3 linked regions of the Arabidopsis thaliana genome follow. The protein of the gene in region 2 interacts with the protein of the main gene of each other region in a pairwise test. Each region holds a gene or a part of one and is shown on either strand. Other genes may lie near its edges.

The links. The genes of interacting proteins can lie anywhere in the genome.
Region 1: the proteins of AT4G05630 (region 2) and AT2G17150 interact in a two-hybrid assay, tested with the Arabidopsis thaliana proteins (one large-scale study listed by BioGRID).
Region 3: the proteins of AT4G05630 (region 2) and NAC105 interact in a two-hybrid assay, tested with the Arabidopsis thaliana proteins (one large-scale study listed by BioGRID).

The regions. Positions count from the first base shown.
Region 1 is NC_003071.7:7,465,681-7,473,665, reverse strand, and holds AT2G17150 (Plant regulator RWP-RK family protein), read left to right. Parts: upstream 1-2,079; 5' UTR 2,080-2,491; exon of another isoform or gene 2,492-2,792; intron 2,793-2,971; 5' UTR 2,972-3,132; coding exon 3,133-3,966; exon of another isoform or gene 3,967-4,247; coding exon of another isoform or gene 4,248-4,316; coding exon 4,317-4,364; intron 4,365-4,443; coding exon 4,444-5,452; coding exon of another isoform or gene 5,453-5,535; exon of another isoform or gene 5,536-5,778; coding exon 5,779-6,617; 3' UTR 6,618-6,979; downstream 6,980-7,985. Other genes in the region: AT2G17160 (Interleukin-1 receptor-associated kinase 4 protein), read right to left, coding at 1-142, 880-912; AT2G17140 (Pentatricopeptide repeat (PPR) superfamily protein), read right to left, coding at 7,926-7,985. UniProt on the Arabidopsis thaliana protein: Probable transcription factor.
Region 2 is NC_003075.7:2,987,744-2,991,266, reverse strand, and holds AT4G05630 (B3 domain protein), read left to right. Parts: upstream 1-2,444; coding exon 2,445-2,819; downstream 2,820-3,523. Other genes in the region: AT4G05631 (uncharacterized protein), read left to right, coding at 55-156, 632-697, 1,079-1,261.
Region 3 is NC_003076.8:26,478,760-26,483,515, forward strand, and holds NAC105 (NAC domain containing protein 105), read right to left. Parts: upstream 2,770-4,756; 5' UTR 2,489-2,769; coding exon 2,314-2,488; intron 2,022-2,313; coding exon 1,747-2,021; intron 1,675-1,746; coding exon 1,246-1,674; 3' UTR 1,007-1,245; downstream 1-1,006. Other genes in the region: AT5G66290 (uncharacterized protein), read right to left, coding at 1-22, 290-374, 467-553, 647-682. UniProt on the Arabidopsis thaliana protein: Transcription activator that binds to the secondary wall NAC binding element (SNBE), 5'-(T/A)NN(C/T)(T/C/G)TNNNNNNNA(A/C)GN(A/C/T)(A/T)-3', in the promoter of target genes.

The sequences.
Region 1 (7,985 bases), on a different chromosome or scaffold from region 2:
TGATGAGACTTTTTCTATGTTCGCACTGCAAACATTCAGAGGCGAGTTTGAAAACTAGGAAAGCTTCTTCTGTTGAGAACTTTCCCTTGAGATTTGGATTCATCAGCTCAGTAACAAACTTTCCGTTTCTCCTCACAGGAGCCTAAAAATAGGAGGATAACAACTCAGTAATATGTGTCTTGTGTGGCAAGAAATTAAGGATTACTATATCACAACTAATTTACTCAGCAGAAATGTGACTTGTGTTGCAAGGAATTGAAAAAGACAGATTCTCTAAGGATTAAAGTCACAAAGTCAAGATGAATGGCTTACATGGTTTGAAACAGAATGGCTTACATGGCTTGGAGGAATTCGCTTTCCAGTTAGCAGATTCACAATGATATTTAGTACCAAATCAATGTCACACTTTTAGGGTTCACGATTCCTACAATAAGAATATATTATATAACATCACATTCAGATATGAATAGTATGAAGAGACAAGCAAGAACTGATTACCTCTTGTTCTTTGACTTCAACATATCCATTAAGCAAATAAAAACAGTTAAGCATACTTAATTAGATCATTAAGAAGGCATAAGCTTGAAAATGTTGTTTCGTATACCTTATCAAACAGAACCGAGTAAGCACTTAAGTTACCGTACGATAAAACATGTATTATTCCAATAATCCAATGCTTCTATTCGATTGTACGGGAAATTATTATATGTATCTTTGAAAACGCCTTGTATGCACCAAGATAAGGACATAAAATTTAGTTAAATCACACCGTTTTCATTACAAAAATGTGATATCATCTTATCATGGGCATATATATATATTTTACAGGTTTTTTTTTGCTCACACAAAAATTGTTCATACAATCAGTAATTACTTTACCTCAGGGTTTGGTCTCCTAGCTTTTGTACCCATCATACTCAATCACGAGATGGTTTGACATCACACGACTTACGCTATACATAACGATTAATGAACATAATTTAGTTTTTCTTTCTTTTGTCTCGGATCGATCAATGATATTGATCTTATATGATATCAAAATCTTATAGTACTGGCAGTGAGATTAAAAACACTAATTTTAAACGACATTATTGTTACATGTGTAGATAGGACCTGCCGTATTCAGACGAATAACAAATGACAAATCTAAGAAATAGAGGAAGAGAGAGAGAGAGAAAGAGACGTCGTGCGCATTTATAGTATAAAGTATAAACCTTTGATTATTATTGATACGTTATTTATGATTTACACGAGGATTCAACTATTTTCAAAGAGTTTGATGACCTTTGGTTTGGTCATGTCATTGTCCCGGACGCGGCTAATGGGGATCGGACTATGGCTCCCCAAATCATTGAGGGCCGTTTTGATCATTTAACTAAGCGTCTAAGCCCGACCCGTTGGATATCAATGTACATATTAATATATTATATACACAAATATTCAAGTTTAATCATTAAATTTGGTTGAATGATGAAACCTAAGATGAATGATTTGTTTCTTCTGTTCGCTTTTTTTTTTTGGGTTTGTTTTTATATCGATTTAGATAATGTGTAACATTGGGAAGTTCACAACCTGTCTAGTTAGCACCCAACTTATGACAGTAATTTTTGTCATGAAATTAATAAAATGACGACATTTTGGAACATAAATAGCAATTTCATGTGTAAGAATAAATATTACCATAATTGTGTGAATCATTATGCCTTTAATGCAATTATTTATATATCGATCATATATAGATTCCATCCTATATACAAAATGTTTTAAACTTTGAGACTCGAGCTGATGTCAGAAAGAATATTCATATAAGAGAAATCGAAAATAAAGTATTAAAGGTCAAACTATATTGATGAACGAACGAACCTGTTCAACACGAAAGACATGTCTTCTCTAAGAAATGATCTTGATCCGATTGATACAGCCAAGTTCTAACCAATGAAACATCCCCGAATAAAAAAACACAAAGTACCGACGAAGAAATAAAACAAAGTGTACGCATACGTAATCACCACAACTGTTATAGTAATAATAATAATAATCTTATACGAATTAATTATGATTAGGGGCAACAAAGAGGAGGTCAGAATAACACCAATCACACGATTAAATAAGAACATTTAACCATCAGGCTCCAAACCAAAACTTAGAAACTTGTTTTTTTTTTTTGTTTCCTTCTTTGATCTTTCTTTCAGAAGAAAAGATTGATTTAAATTTGAGAAACCAAGCGACTGTTTGTTTACTTTCTTTATTATTACAGATTTACAGGTACAGACAAAGTTGTATGTAAGTGTGATTAGAACAGTGGATGCTCTTATCACGGGTCCACTTGCTCTCTAAAAAGAATATTGAAGCTCATAATTACATCTTTAGAGACTAAAACAATCTTAATCATTCACCTTCACCAAGTACTTGTGTCCAGAAGAAAAAGAAGGAAAAAAAGAACACACCATTCAAGAAAGAGAGAAGCTTCTTGTGATAAGAAATTTCACAGGTTTTGTTTTTGTTTTGTTTATATATATTCTCAGATTTGATTTTGCTTACCATTATATGTATGAAGAAATAGAGAGACCAATTACTTTTTACATTAGACAGAGTAAAATCCAGTCTGTGCATCTTCTCAATGTTTTTTTTTTGTTTGTTGGTGCTTTCTCTAAGTGTTCTTGGGTATAGGTCCCAAAGTGAAGCTTTTTCTGTTTCTTTGTGCAAACAAATCTTGATAAAGTTAGTAACTTTTGGTGAAAATCTTACCCTTTCATGGACAATCAGATTTGATTTCGTTTCCATGTCCATAGGTGAGAATTTTGTAATTGAAATTGATGGCACTCTACTTTGATTGATGGATACCTTCTTAAGTCAACTCTTCATTGAAAGCGAAGCTACTTATATAGATTATATAGCATCTCTATGATATGATTCTTCTCTTGTCTTATTCTTGGGTGGGTCTTTGACAATGTTTCTGCAACTTTTTCAGATTGGGTTTTAACATTCCAAGGAGAGGACTTTGTCTTGTCTCTATTCATCTTCAAGACCCTTATGAGTTTCGGTTCTTGAGTAAACAACAGCTAAGCACAGTCTCTGAGAACTTGAGGATTTGGTAGTATCTGTTGGAGGTATAAAAACGAATCTTTAGACATGGAAGATGATGGTGGTAGTGATGGAGGCGAAGGAAATGGTGGGTTTTCACCTAATTCTAGCTTTGGGGCATTCGCTGACACTGCCATGGATTTGGATTTCATGGATGAACTCTTGTTTGATGGATGTTGGCTAGAGACAACAGATAGTAAGAGCTTGAAGCAGACAGAACAATCTCCTTCAGCTTCTACCGCCATGAATGACAATAGCCCTTTCCTCTGCTTTGGTGAGAATCCATCTCAAGATAATTTCTCTAATGAAGAAACAGAGAGAATGTTTCCTCAGGCTGAAAAGTTTCTCCTAGAAGAAGCTGAGGTGGGAAAAAGTTGGTGGATTGCTCCAAGTGCAAGTGAAGGCCCGTCTTCATCTGTGAAGGAGAGGCTACTACAAGCTATTAGTGGTCTTAACGAGGCGGTGCAAGATAAGGACTTCTTGGTTCAGATATGGGTGCCAATTCAGCAGGAAGGGAAGAGCTTTCTTACTACTTGGGCTCAGCCACATTTATTCAACCAAGAATACTCCAGCCTTGCAGAATACAGACATGTTTCAGAGACTTATAATTTCCCGGCTGATGAGGGTATGAAAGATTTTGTGGGTCTTCCCGGTCGTGTTTTCTTGCAGAAGTTTCCTGAGTGGACTCCTGATGTGCGTTTCTTTAGAAGAGATGAATATCCACGCATCAAAGAAGCACAAAAGTGTGATGTTCGTGGTTCACTTGCCCTTCCTGTTTTCGAAAGAGGTAGTGGGACTTGTTTGGGTGTTGTTGAGATCGTCACAACAACTCAGAAGATGAATTACCGGCAAGAACTTGAGAAGATGTGTAAAGCTCTTGAGGTTTTGCCTCTACCTCAAACTACTCTATAGATCCCGCAACGCTTACCTCACATGTTTAGACCCATACAACCAGTAAACCTCATGCTTGAATGTATCTTTCACTGGATGGCTTTCTCTGTTTGCTCATTATTCAATTCCTCACATTTGTCCAGTTTGTTTTTTGGTTTTCTTTAGAGTCCAACAACATCTTCTGCATACGTTTGTACTTTGATTGTTCTACATCTTTCTTTCTGCATCATGTCTCCTCCTGTCAGTCATTCAGCCATAATCTTCTTTGATTAATGTCTGTGATAACAGTGAGAAGTTTTGTTTATGTGCCACAACAGTCTAAAGACGCTGCTGTTTTGCAGGCCGTCGATCTAAGGAGTTCAAGTAACTTGAACACTCCAAGCTCTGAGGTGCATTAACTGGATTCTTAGTTCATTCAGCTCCTAGAAACAACGATATGCATTGCTAAGGTCATACTCCATGTTTCAGTTTCTGCAGGTCTATAGTGATTTCTACTGTGCTGCATTACCTGAAATAAAAGATTTCCTGGCCACAATCTGCAGATCATATGATTTTCCTCTAGCTTTGTCATGGGCGCCGTGTGCTCGGCAAGGGAAAGTTGGTTCCCGACATTCTGATGAGAACTTCTCTGAGTGTGTTTCAACAATCGATTCTGCTTGTTCTGTCCCCGACGAACAGAGCAAAAGTTTTTGGGAGGCATGCTCTGAACACCATCTGCTCCAGGGGGAAGGCATTGTTGGGAAAGCATTTGAAGCCACCAAACTCTTTTTTGTGCCCGAAGTGGCCACATTTAGCAAGACTAACTACCCCCTTGCACACCACGCCAAGATATCTGGACTACATGCTGCTTTAGCAGTTCCATTAAAGAGCAAATCTGGTTTGGTTGAGTTTGTGTTGGAATTTTTCTTTCCGAAAGCATGCCTTGACACTGAAGCGCAACAGGAAATGCTCAAGTCACTATGTGTGACACTGCAGCAAGATTTCAGGAGTTCAAATCTTTTCATCAAAGACCTAGAGTTAGAAGTCGTATTACCTGTAAGAGAGACAATGCTCTTCTCAGAAAACCTGCTATGTGGAGCAGAAACCGTAGAGTCGTTGACAGAAATTCAAATGCAAGAATCCTCATGGATCGCCCACATGATAAAGGCAAACGAGAAGGGTAAAGATGTATCACTTTCTTGGGAGTACCAGAAAGAAGATCCTAAAGAGCTCTCATCTGGCCGGGAGAACAGTCAGCTTGATCCAGTCCCCAATAATGTTCCTTTAGAAGCTGAGCAATTACAGCAAGCATCAACTCCAGGACTCAGAGTCGACATCGGTCCAAGCACAGAATCAGCTTCGACTGGTGGGGGAAATATGTTAAGCAGTAGGAGACCAGGGGAGAAAAAAAGAGCAAAAACAGAAAAGACCATTGGCTTGGAGGTTCTTCGACAATACTTTGCTGGAAGCCTCAAGGATGCAGCCAAGAGCATTGGTGGTAAGAGAATGTTGTACACTGCTGGTGACATAGCCCCATTCTTTATGAATTTTGATTCTTATTGTTTCTTGGGAAAAGCATAACCATTACGTTCATTAGTCAAAACCCAAAACATTCCAAATGAATATGTTGAACAAAAATTCATGCCTCAGGATATGTGAAAACTCCATGGCCAATATACATAAATATCAATGAAACCAGAAGTCAGTCTTACATTATATCTATGTGGTAGTGGATCAATCATCATGCTCTACAAACATTTTCATCATGGCTATTTATCTGTCTCTCAGACAGTGATCTGACAAGGTTTCGTTCTTGTGTTGCAGTTTGTCCAACTACCTTGAAAAGGATATGCAGGCAACATGGAATAATGCGATGGCCCTCCCGAAAAATCAAGAAGGTTGGGCATTCGTTGAAGAAACTCCAACTAGTTATGGACTCTGTCCAAGGTGCGCAGGGCTCTATCCAACTCGATTCATTCTATACAAGCTTCCCAGAGTTGAACTCCCCAAATATGTCTAGCAATGGCCCTTCCTTGAAGAGTAATGAACAGCCAAGTCATTTGAATGCTCAAACCGATAATGGTATTATGGCAGAGGAAAACCCCAGGTCACCATCATCTTCTTGCAGCAAGAGCTCTGGTTCAAGCAACAATAATGAGAATACTGGAAACATTCTAGTTGCTGAGGATGCTGATGCGGTGTTAAAGAGAGCTCATAGCGAAGCACAACTGCATAATGTGAATCAGGAGGAAACAAAATGTCTTGCAAGAACCCAGAGCCATAAAACATTCAAGGAGCCTCTTGTTCTTGATAATTCATCTCCATTAACAGGTAGTAGCAACACGAGTTTAAGAGCTAGAGGTGCCATCAAAGTGAAAGCGACATTTGGTGAGGCCAGAATACGGTTTACCTTACTCCCGAGTTGGGGCTTCGCAGAGCTGAAGCAAGAGATTGCTAGGCGTTTCAACATAGATGACATTTCCTGGTTTGACCTTAAGTACCTGGATGATGATAAGGAGTGGGTTCTTCTGACATGTGAAGCGGATCTCGTGGAATGCATTGACATATATAGATTAACACAGACCCACACAATTAAAATAAGTCTGAACGAAGCTTCTCAAGTCAAGCTAAGTGGTTCTTTTGGCAACACTGGTCTTTCCTGAAAAACATTAAACGAAGTTTTGTAACTGCAAAGCACCAGGAAGATTCTACTGATTTTTTTAGCTTTTGTAGAAATCTCACTTACCTTTTCAGCATGGGAATCCTGTATAAACATATTTCCAGTTCCCTGAACAACATTTTGGAAGTGGCAGTAGTAACTGGTCTCCTGTATTGCCCTAGCAGATTTTTGTATAAAAGAGATGAATTCCATAGACTTGTATTTTATGCATGTACAATCTTATTGTCTGGTTTCTTAAACTCTGCAAGACTGGAACTATGGCGATTGAAAAATTCTGTGTGTTTCGCTTATTTATTTTTGGGACATGTCTGGTTACAGGATACTATCTAGTCCATGATTGCATTGATGTACATGGAAAATAATGTGCCGGGATTCAAGAATATCCATTTCATGATATTGATTATGAGATTAAACATTTAAAACTGATATTGTAAAAACAGGAAAAAATAATCTGTATGGCTATGTTTAAGAAGAAACCTAGTTCCAATTAAGCAGCTAACACTTGGTGGTCTTCCACGTTTTATAAAACTTAGTCTCTTTGTATCCCCACTACAAACTCCTACTGTTCCAGAACCAGAAAATGTGCCGACAGAAAGCACAAGAAAGCTTACATTTTCTCCAATAATGTAGATTGTGTTCCTCCCACCCAAAATTCAAAGTTGGGCTCAAATTCTTTATGAAAGCAGGCAGCTCTTATGTTTAAACGTCGTTCTAACAAGGATATATTTGTCCAGCCATGTCGTCTTGTCTGGTTCTACCAGCTTAGCTACAAAGACAGGAAAACAGAAGGTGAGGGTCCAATTCTAAAATATTTTTCCACTGAACATGAAGGTTATTAAAAATAGATTGGATTCCTCAACATTATCCGTGATACTTTTACCAGAGAGTTATATTTAGCTTCGTTAGAGATCTCTCAACCTTGTACATCACAAGCTACTATAAGGCTAACATCTTACACATGAGCATGGAGACAATGATCAAAAGAGTATGCCACAAGATCATTATTTGATTATAAAATTAAATACTACTGTCCAAAGTAGGAAGAAAATGAAGAAAGTGATGTGAAGTCCTACTCTACGTTACTTTAAATTGATTTTTGATTTAACGAGAATTTTGTTTTTTTGTCCAAAAGATTAGACGTGTCTACATCAGAAGGCTGTTGTATTTCAGACGTGTCTACAACAGTATTCGTTCTTACCTTTACCTGTCATCCTTGATGAGCTGCACCTCAAAAACTTGCTTGCGCCATCTGAACTTTCCCATCAGAAAGAAAACAGAGTCATGCAAATCCTTAACCATCGTCCTCCCAGTAGTCTAAGTAGTCAACTCTTGGAGGCTGAAAGCTTGATAT
Region 2 (3,523 bases):
TCTCAGGCATGTCACAGGAGTGTTGATATGAGACAAGTTTAAAGAAGCTAACAGGGGTTCAAATCTGTTGGATTGAAAGGGTTTGCTGATTCAGAAGGGTTTCGAACCAGATTGAGCAAAAAGAGTTGTATCGGAAGTTTTCCTTTCTCTGTGAAAGTTAGGAGGCATGTTTTGTTGGTAACATAGGCGGTGCAAAGTGATGCTCAAAGTTCAAACAAATCACTGTAAGTACAATCTCTAGTTAAATACATTTTACTACTAACGGGTTATTGGCTTAGATTGTTTTGCAGGATGAATCATTGACTGTTTCAGGATAGAAAAGCACAAGCGATCCAAGATATTTTTGCATAATGATTCAAGGGAGAATTTGATTCAAAGTTCAGTGCACATGAAATGAATCAAAGGGCTAGCGAGGAATCGATCTGCAGAGGTTAAAAAAGGATCCAGGCTGTGAAGGAAACAAGTGAAGCAAACATGAGTTTTTTGTTGACACAAGTCTGTGTTAAAGTTGGTTCACAACTCAAGAAGTGATACTAGAACGTCGATGGTTCGGGAACGTCGGTGTGATTCACATCACAGCTATTTTTTTTCCATCGAAGATATGTTCACTAATGGTTGTTGAAGTGTGAAGATTGGAGTTGTCAAGGTTAGAGCAAGTTTAAAGGGTTCTAAGGAGCAGCTGCGAGGAAGTCTTCAAGTAGAATCAAGACATGTTGATTTTAAGATGCATTGAGGAAACAATTTTTCAAGGAAGCATTGAAGTTGAACGGTGAAGTTCAAGATGAGCGGTGAAGCTCAAGTACCGGAGATGGAATCCAAGAAGCTAGATAAGGAGCGTGAAGAAGATCGATGACAAGGTGGAGATTTGAAGGTTTAGTGTCATCCGATCTCAAGATATATGCTAAAGTGTGATAAGTATCTGAAGCAATCAGAGGGTTTGACCCAAGCTTCCTTCATTGGCTCACGTGAGAAGCACACACGTGAGATTAGTAATAAGTCACAACTAGAAGGGTAAAAGGGTCTTTTATCATTGGCTCTGTATCTTCTTCTTCTCTACTCTTCTTTGAGTATGTAACAGAATGAAACAGATAAGAGAAGCGTGACAACGAGACTACGCAAGTCGACGAGAGACGTGAGCTTAGAGTTAGAGGTAGAGAGAGTAACTGGTTTTGTGTTGGTGAGTGAGAGAAAGCTTGAGAGTGACTGTAATCCGGTGAGCGATTGTAACGGTCACTTGTATGAGCTCGAGTTTGAGCTATGATCTAGTGGATTCCGGAGTCAATCTCCGGCGAGACGTAGGGTTCCACACCGGAACCTGAACTCGTAAAATCTCGGTGTTCTTTGTTTGCGTTTTTTCTATTTTCTTTCAAATCCCTAAACTAAGTCGCAAGTTCTAATCGGAAATTATAGATTAGGCTTCACAATAATCTTGTAAAGTTTCTTAAACAATCTCTCTATTTTGATAATATTTTTCATTACTTTTTATGACTTTATTTTGTAAACAAAAATATAGAAAGTCATGAACCAATAACATAATAATTTAAATCATTAACAATAAGAGATTCTTTTGTTTTAATTGAATACCACAAAACTCTTACTGACTTTATAAGAATATGAATCCAATAACCCCAAATTTATGAAGATTTTAGATTACTTTTTACAAATCTTAAATGAATAACACAAAACATTAACATAGTTTTATATTATCTTGATTGAATAACAACATATTTTACATGACATTTTAAGTCAATAAAACTCCTTTGAAATCATAAACCAATAATATCCCCTAAAACTTAACTATTACTTTTGTTGAAAGAGAAAACATGTTCAATTAATAATGAATCTATTATACTCATGAAAATATTGTGTATATATATTCTAACATATAATTCACTGATTAACATATTACCCATATTTCTAATGAATGTAATTAAAGTTTATGTGCCACAATAGTTTGGTCAAAAAGAAAAACTATTTATTGTCTTAAGTAAAAAAAAAATCTTACAGAATCTTATAGAGTTAAATTTGCAAGCTCACAACTACATGAGCCAAAAAAATGTCAAATACTTAAATGACATTTACTTCAAAACTTTTTGATGTTAAGTCAGCCTGTCAAAATTTATTTCACTTTAACACGTGTTAGAATTCAATAACTACAAAACTATATATGTCATAATATTATGAAACTATATATCAAACAAAATTAGTGTTATTTGGGTAAGACAAAACATATTCAATTAATTAATTTTAATCTAACTTGAAAACATAGTATCTCTCTATTGGTATAAGCTCTTAATTACAATTAACCACGTACATAAGTACAACTTATTGTCACTATATATACCCTTAACACAAACAAATATTTTTATACAAACCTTGCATAAGCCTTTACGGAGTAAGGAACATTGAAACCCGATTTTTCATATATCTTTCTGTTCTAACTCATGGCGAATTTTCCAGATAAGCAGTATGACTCAAACAACCCATATAACATCATGATAACGTTGTCACCATTTGACGTCGATAGGAGTACTACGATAATGATGCCAAAAGCGTTACTAGAAACCAATTTATTTCCTTTCATGGAGATAAGTACTCTCGTCCAGTTGTTACAAGTTCAAGACAAGCCAAAGATGATTGGAGTGTATGATATTGATACTCAAATTACAACATATGTAATCATAAGACAAGATGGAAATAATTTTAAATTTCATGGATGGAATGATATTCTAAAAAGAAAACATTACAAAGCAGGCGATACTATTGCATTTTGGTGGGATCTTCGTCATACTAGACTAAATTTCAAACATGTTGCTTAATTGATGGAGCGAATCTTCACAACTTCATTTCTCGGATATGCATCTATACCGGGTTTGTCTGATCGAGTCCAGTTTGTTGTCGTTTTATTATGTTGGTTTAATTCCTGTTTCTAGAGAACATGTTTTTCTCTTATATTTATAAATATATATATTTGGATTTATAAGATAATATATGTAAATAATAAAAGAGTCGAGAGAAACAATTTCTCCAAATTTTTTATCTATACATTCAAATTTAATATAATATTTTGATAGTAAATCATAAAAAGGAATTGTTTGTGGTAGAATCATTTGTGTAACAGTTCTCATAATTTGCAATAAATAATAAATCAAGACAGCAAAACAAAAATTAATATGTATTAAAATTTAATTTATTTTAACACGCGTTAATCTAACTAATACAATTTCTATGTGCCTAAATATTTTGGCTTTTAAAAAGGTTATATGCATGTTGTAACAAATCTGATGACATTTCTGAATTATACATAATCGGCATCTAATTTATATTTTTTTTATCAGTTGCTATAATAACTAACTAGATTTTGACCCGCGGTATACCGCGGGGCTAGGTTTTTAATAAAATTTGTTATATAAAATGTATATGTAGATATTTGTTTTATTAATATTGTTTGCTTTGTTTAGTGTTTAAGATAATGTATATATAGATTTTAATTGTTATATCTAGGATTTCATCCGTAGTATAT
Region 3 (4,756 bases), on a different chromosome or scaffold from region 2:
AGTATTTGAGGATCAACCGTATCTGGGAAACAGTTGACAACAAAGGCAAAAAATTAGAGTTGAAAAAAGGAGACTTGTAGATGAATGAAAATATCTTTTCATTATGAAGCTTTAACAGTAAACGAATACATTAGCAAAAACAAAAAAAGTCCAAAGATATGTCTTCTTCTATGAATAAATTGTCTTCCACACAACAAACGATCAATCATTTTGAACATGTTACATAAAAACAGCAAGTCCTCTTCCTAAACTCAGTTGAGCAAACTAATCAGATAGGTATAAAACTCACTGGAAGAGGAACTGGATAGAGCTTTTCTCACTAAGATATCTGTTAAGCTACTTTCCGTGGGAGGAGACTTCAATATTGGCCTACTCTGCAATTATCATATTTTTAAGCAAGAGCAAACATGTTCAATCGAAAAAACATTGAAAAGGGAAAGACAAAAGAGGAGTAGTAGTAACTCACTACTGTGAGAGCTTTAAGATTCTCGAGAATGGGATCGACTATTTCTGATCGATGAGATATAGTCGTAATCACATCACCTCGATTTTCCTGAGAATCCATCAAAAATTGAATAAATCAATCTCGCATATATAATAGACCCAGGAAGATGCCTGGAGAATCAAATCGCGATATATCAGTTACCTGAGAGCCTAGCAGAGTTGAATCTGATGCTCCCATTTGCTTCACAGACTCCGATTAGGGAATTTTATTCAAGGAATCAGCAGTTCCGTTTTGGGAGAAATCTGGAAACGCTCGTAGCAAGGTTTTCTCAACTCCGCCAAGGAGAAGGAGGAGGAGACCGCAATATGACGTTTCGCGCATGTGCAAGACAACAGCGTGCCGTTTTAAACCCCCAGTGACGACAATGTGTTAAAACAAAAAACGCCAGCTCGTTGGATATTCAATGGGTAGGACTAGGAGACAAAGCATGAGTAACACAAAGCCATGCTTCACCACGCATGGTAGACAAAAGCCCATTTTATTGGGCCCACCTTGAGCCCACTTCTTTATTAAATATATAAAAATATAAATCACCGTAATTTGAACGTATATTTTCGAGTCACTAATACATTATACGAAACAAACTGAGTAAGTGTAAAGCCCTATATATATCTTCTTATTCGATTCTCACCTTCTATTTATCCATCGAAATCAATTCCTTCGGTGAATTATTACGACCATATATGTAAATCCAAAATGCGACGACGTTTCTAGTGCATGCATGCATAGGAAAGCCTTTTTTAGTCTTCTCCACTCATCAAAAATTGAGACGCCACGAACTTATCTAGATATCTCCAGTCAGTGATCCTCTTCTCGGAGCTCATGTCATCTTTCCGGCTACTGTTCTCAGAAAAAGTAGTACTATGGGGAGTTATTTCCGACGGAAGAGAGGGGCTCTCGAGCTGAGGAAGCTGGGAGAATTGATCATCATCGATGCATTGAAGGTACATAGATCCGAAATCTCCATCCTGGACGTGACTGGCCTCGGAGAGTAGTTCTTGCTTGAACGGTGTGGCGGTAAAATCAGGATTATGTCTGGCTCGCTTGTCGAGAGGTTCCAAGAGAGTGGCGTCGTCGTAGAATAAGCAGTTCGGATCCCAAAGTTGCCTCCTTTTTGTTGGGATGGTCGTTCGTTTCTTAAATGCTCTACACACTACCCATCCTTCTTCCTGCTTCACCATTTAATCTAGCTAGATCAATCAGAATGTGTGGCGCTATAAGTGAATAAGATTCCGAATTACCTGTGGAGGAGAGTTCTGGTGTGACTCGAGGCTGTAGTATTCGTGAATGATCCAATCGGACTTTTGGCCATTAGGCGCTCGACCTCGGTAAAAGACAAGCGTTTTTCTCATACCGATAAGTTTGGAGTTGAGGTAAACCGCCTTGTCCCGGCCCGTTGCTTTCCAGAAACCGGCCACGGTGGCTCGGTTTGTCCTAGTCCCAGTCGGATACTTCTTGTCTCTATGGCTGAAGAAATACCACTCCGTTTGCTCCTCGTACCCTATCCTACATCTCTCTACACGTATCACATTTAGGTTACATATTACTCTTTCGAGCTACACAGTATAGTTGCTTACATGTGTAGGTGGTATCGTTTAAATCATAATTCATAAATTAACCCTAACTTCTAAAACTTGACCTCTCTAGATGTAGCCTTATATGTAGGGTCACTCGGGCACATAATTCATAAATTGCACATATAAAAGACGGAACCAATTATATTATATGAACGATTGATCACATGAATAAACATTGGTATCGAGAAGATATAAGAGAGACAGATAGAGAGAGATAGATATATAATATACCTTGTAGATCCCATGGTTCGATCTTGTAAAGATCAATTTCTCTGATAACGTCGAGATCAATCCTCTGGGAGGCGATTTTCTTCTTGAGATAATATCCGACAAGTTCTTCATCTGTCGGATGAAACCTAAATCCAGGCGGTATACTACACGAATAATCTTGATCAACCTTCATCATATTGATAGTTATTTTCTAGGATTTATTTCGCTGCGGTTTCTTCTTGATCTTAGAAAGATCGATCATAGAAGAAACCCGATCAACCGACTCTATCAAGGGAAAAACAATAGAACGAGAGTCTTATTGAAGATGTTGGTTAGGTATAGGAAAAGAGAGATATGGACCGTCCACTTGAACGATGACATGTGTGTTTAGACTTCAGAGTGTAATCATATGTTCATTTCGCGTTGGCGTAATTCACCATCACTCTTTCTGTACATATATGCACATTTATATACAAGATACACAAAAATATATGTTAGAAGATATGAATCTACAAATTAATATATATATATATATATGAAACGAAGTAATGATTATGTTACAACTTAGAATGGAGACATATGAAAAGGAGATTAAAAAAAAAGGTGGGTGGCTCCGTTTTGAGAGAAACGGGAGAGAGAAGCTGTGATTATCATCATTTTGTTTTTGTGTTACTTCATGCTCAAAATGATGTCTCCTTCAACAATCCTGTATTCTTTATTTTATATCATATATTCGTTTCCTCTTTATATATGTATTTAAAACACTCCAAATTATGAAAAGAATGACTATTGGAAATACTGAAGCTCGATGGTACGCGCGGTTGTAGTGCTACATTTTCAATTACAATCTGACGTTATGTGTCAAATGTGCTGATGTAAAACTTGTTTTGTCTGTTTGTCGTTAATTCTAGGGTCAGCACTCTGATCTCTGTGTTTGACAAAACAACTACATATTTCTCTCTCACACTTGATCTCACGCCTACAATACGATATGTATGTATTTTTACCTATAAAGCTAGTTACGTTGGTGAAGCGATGACCCGATCAAGTATATAACTTAATGTTAATTGGATACAATTCCTGCCTTTTTTTCAGCCAAAACCAAAAGGTTATATATGTAGAGGATGTTAGAGATGAATAGAGATTAAGATTTTTAGATGAAAAAGACATGCAATTGATCTTATATAAAGCATGCTTTAAGCAAGAGATCATATGTGTTTGAAAGGTCATCGGGTCATAAAAGAGGAATGTATACTGTATACAGTTTTAGACTTGACTTTGTGAGAATTGGACATTGGAAAATTGTGGAGCCCCTCCGTTTGCGCATGGTTTTTATGTAATTCTTTGGGAGTCAACTACTAGTAGTACAGTAGACTAGTAATGGTAGTAGTAAAGGGTTATATTTGTCATTTTGAACGCGGCTGTTGAAAACAATGCCAAGAATGTTCGGAAAGAGAGGTGAAGTGGAACACACGTAGCCGAATAGTATTGGTTAAACGGTTAAGTTCTTTACGTAGAAGGGTGAGGGCAACAAAGAAGCGAAGGGTTTGAATGGGTCTTAGCAAATTAACATTTACTAGAAATAAAAAAATAAAAACGTTAATGGACTCCAAATTTGGCGGTGGTAAAAAATCAGATATGAACCAGCGCATTGACAAATAAACGTGATTTATTAATCATGCTCTGGTTTGAAAAGGAAGTAATTAATATCAATTTCCTTATTCTTTAAATTATGCATATAACAAAAATAATTTCAATGCAACCATTATGAATTGGGATTACATGATTGAAAATCATTCACTCTATACACACTCCTAACCCCAAATCAATAAAACCTCTAGTCTTAGTGTTTTGACTTTAGCCGCTCATAAATATCTGAGAATGATGATATATATATATGCGTTTTTATTTTAAACTTTTTGTTTGGTATTTAAGAAGGAATTGTCCCGGCTTAACATTTCTATCTATGACTAGATATTAACCCGCGGTATACCGCGAGCCTATATTTTTATTAAATAAAAAATAATTGAATAATTTTTAGGATGATTTAATAAATTTATGCTATTGTTTGATTTAAATGTATAATTCACCGCGAGACGAAATTTTATAACTCAAATTTTAAAGTTTTAAGTTGTATTTGTTTATTTTGTTAAATGTTTAATATTGTATAATTGTATTTTGATTGTTGTTTCTCGGATTTCACCCGTAGTACACCATCCCATATTAATATCGAATCAAACCCGTCAATTCTAGAATTTCACCCGTGGTAGTATTTAATTGTATAATTATATTTTAATTGTCATCGTAGGATTTCACTCCTAATTCTATCGCAAATTATTATCAACCCAAACCAGTCAATTCTAAAATATCACCCGTAGTACACCATCCCATATTAATATCGAATCAAGCCCGTCAATTCTAGGATTTCACCCGTGGTAGTATTTAATTGTATAATTATATTTTA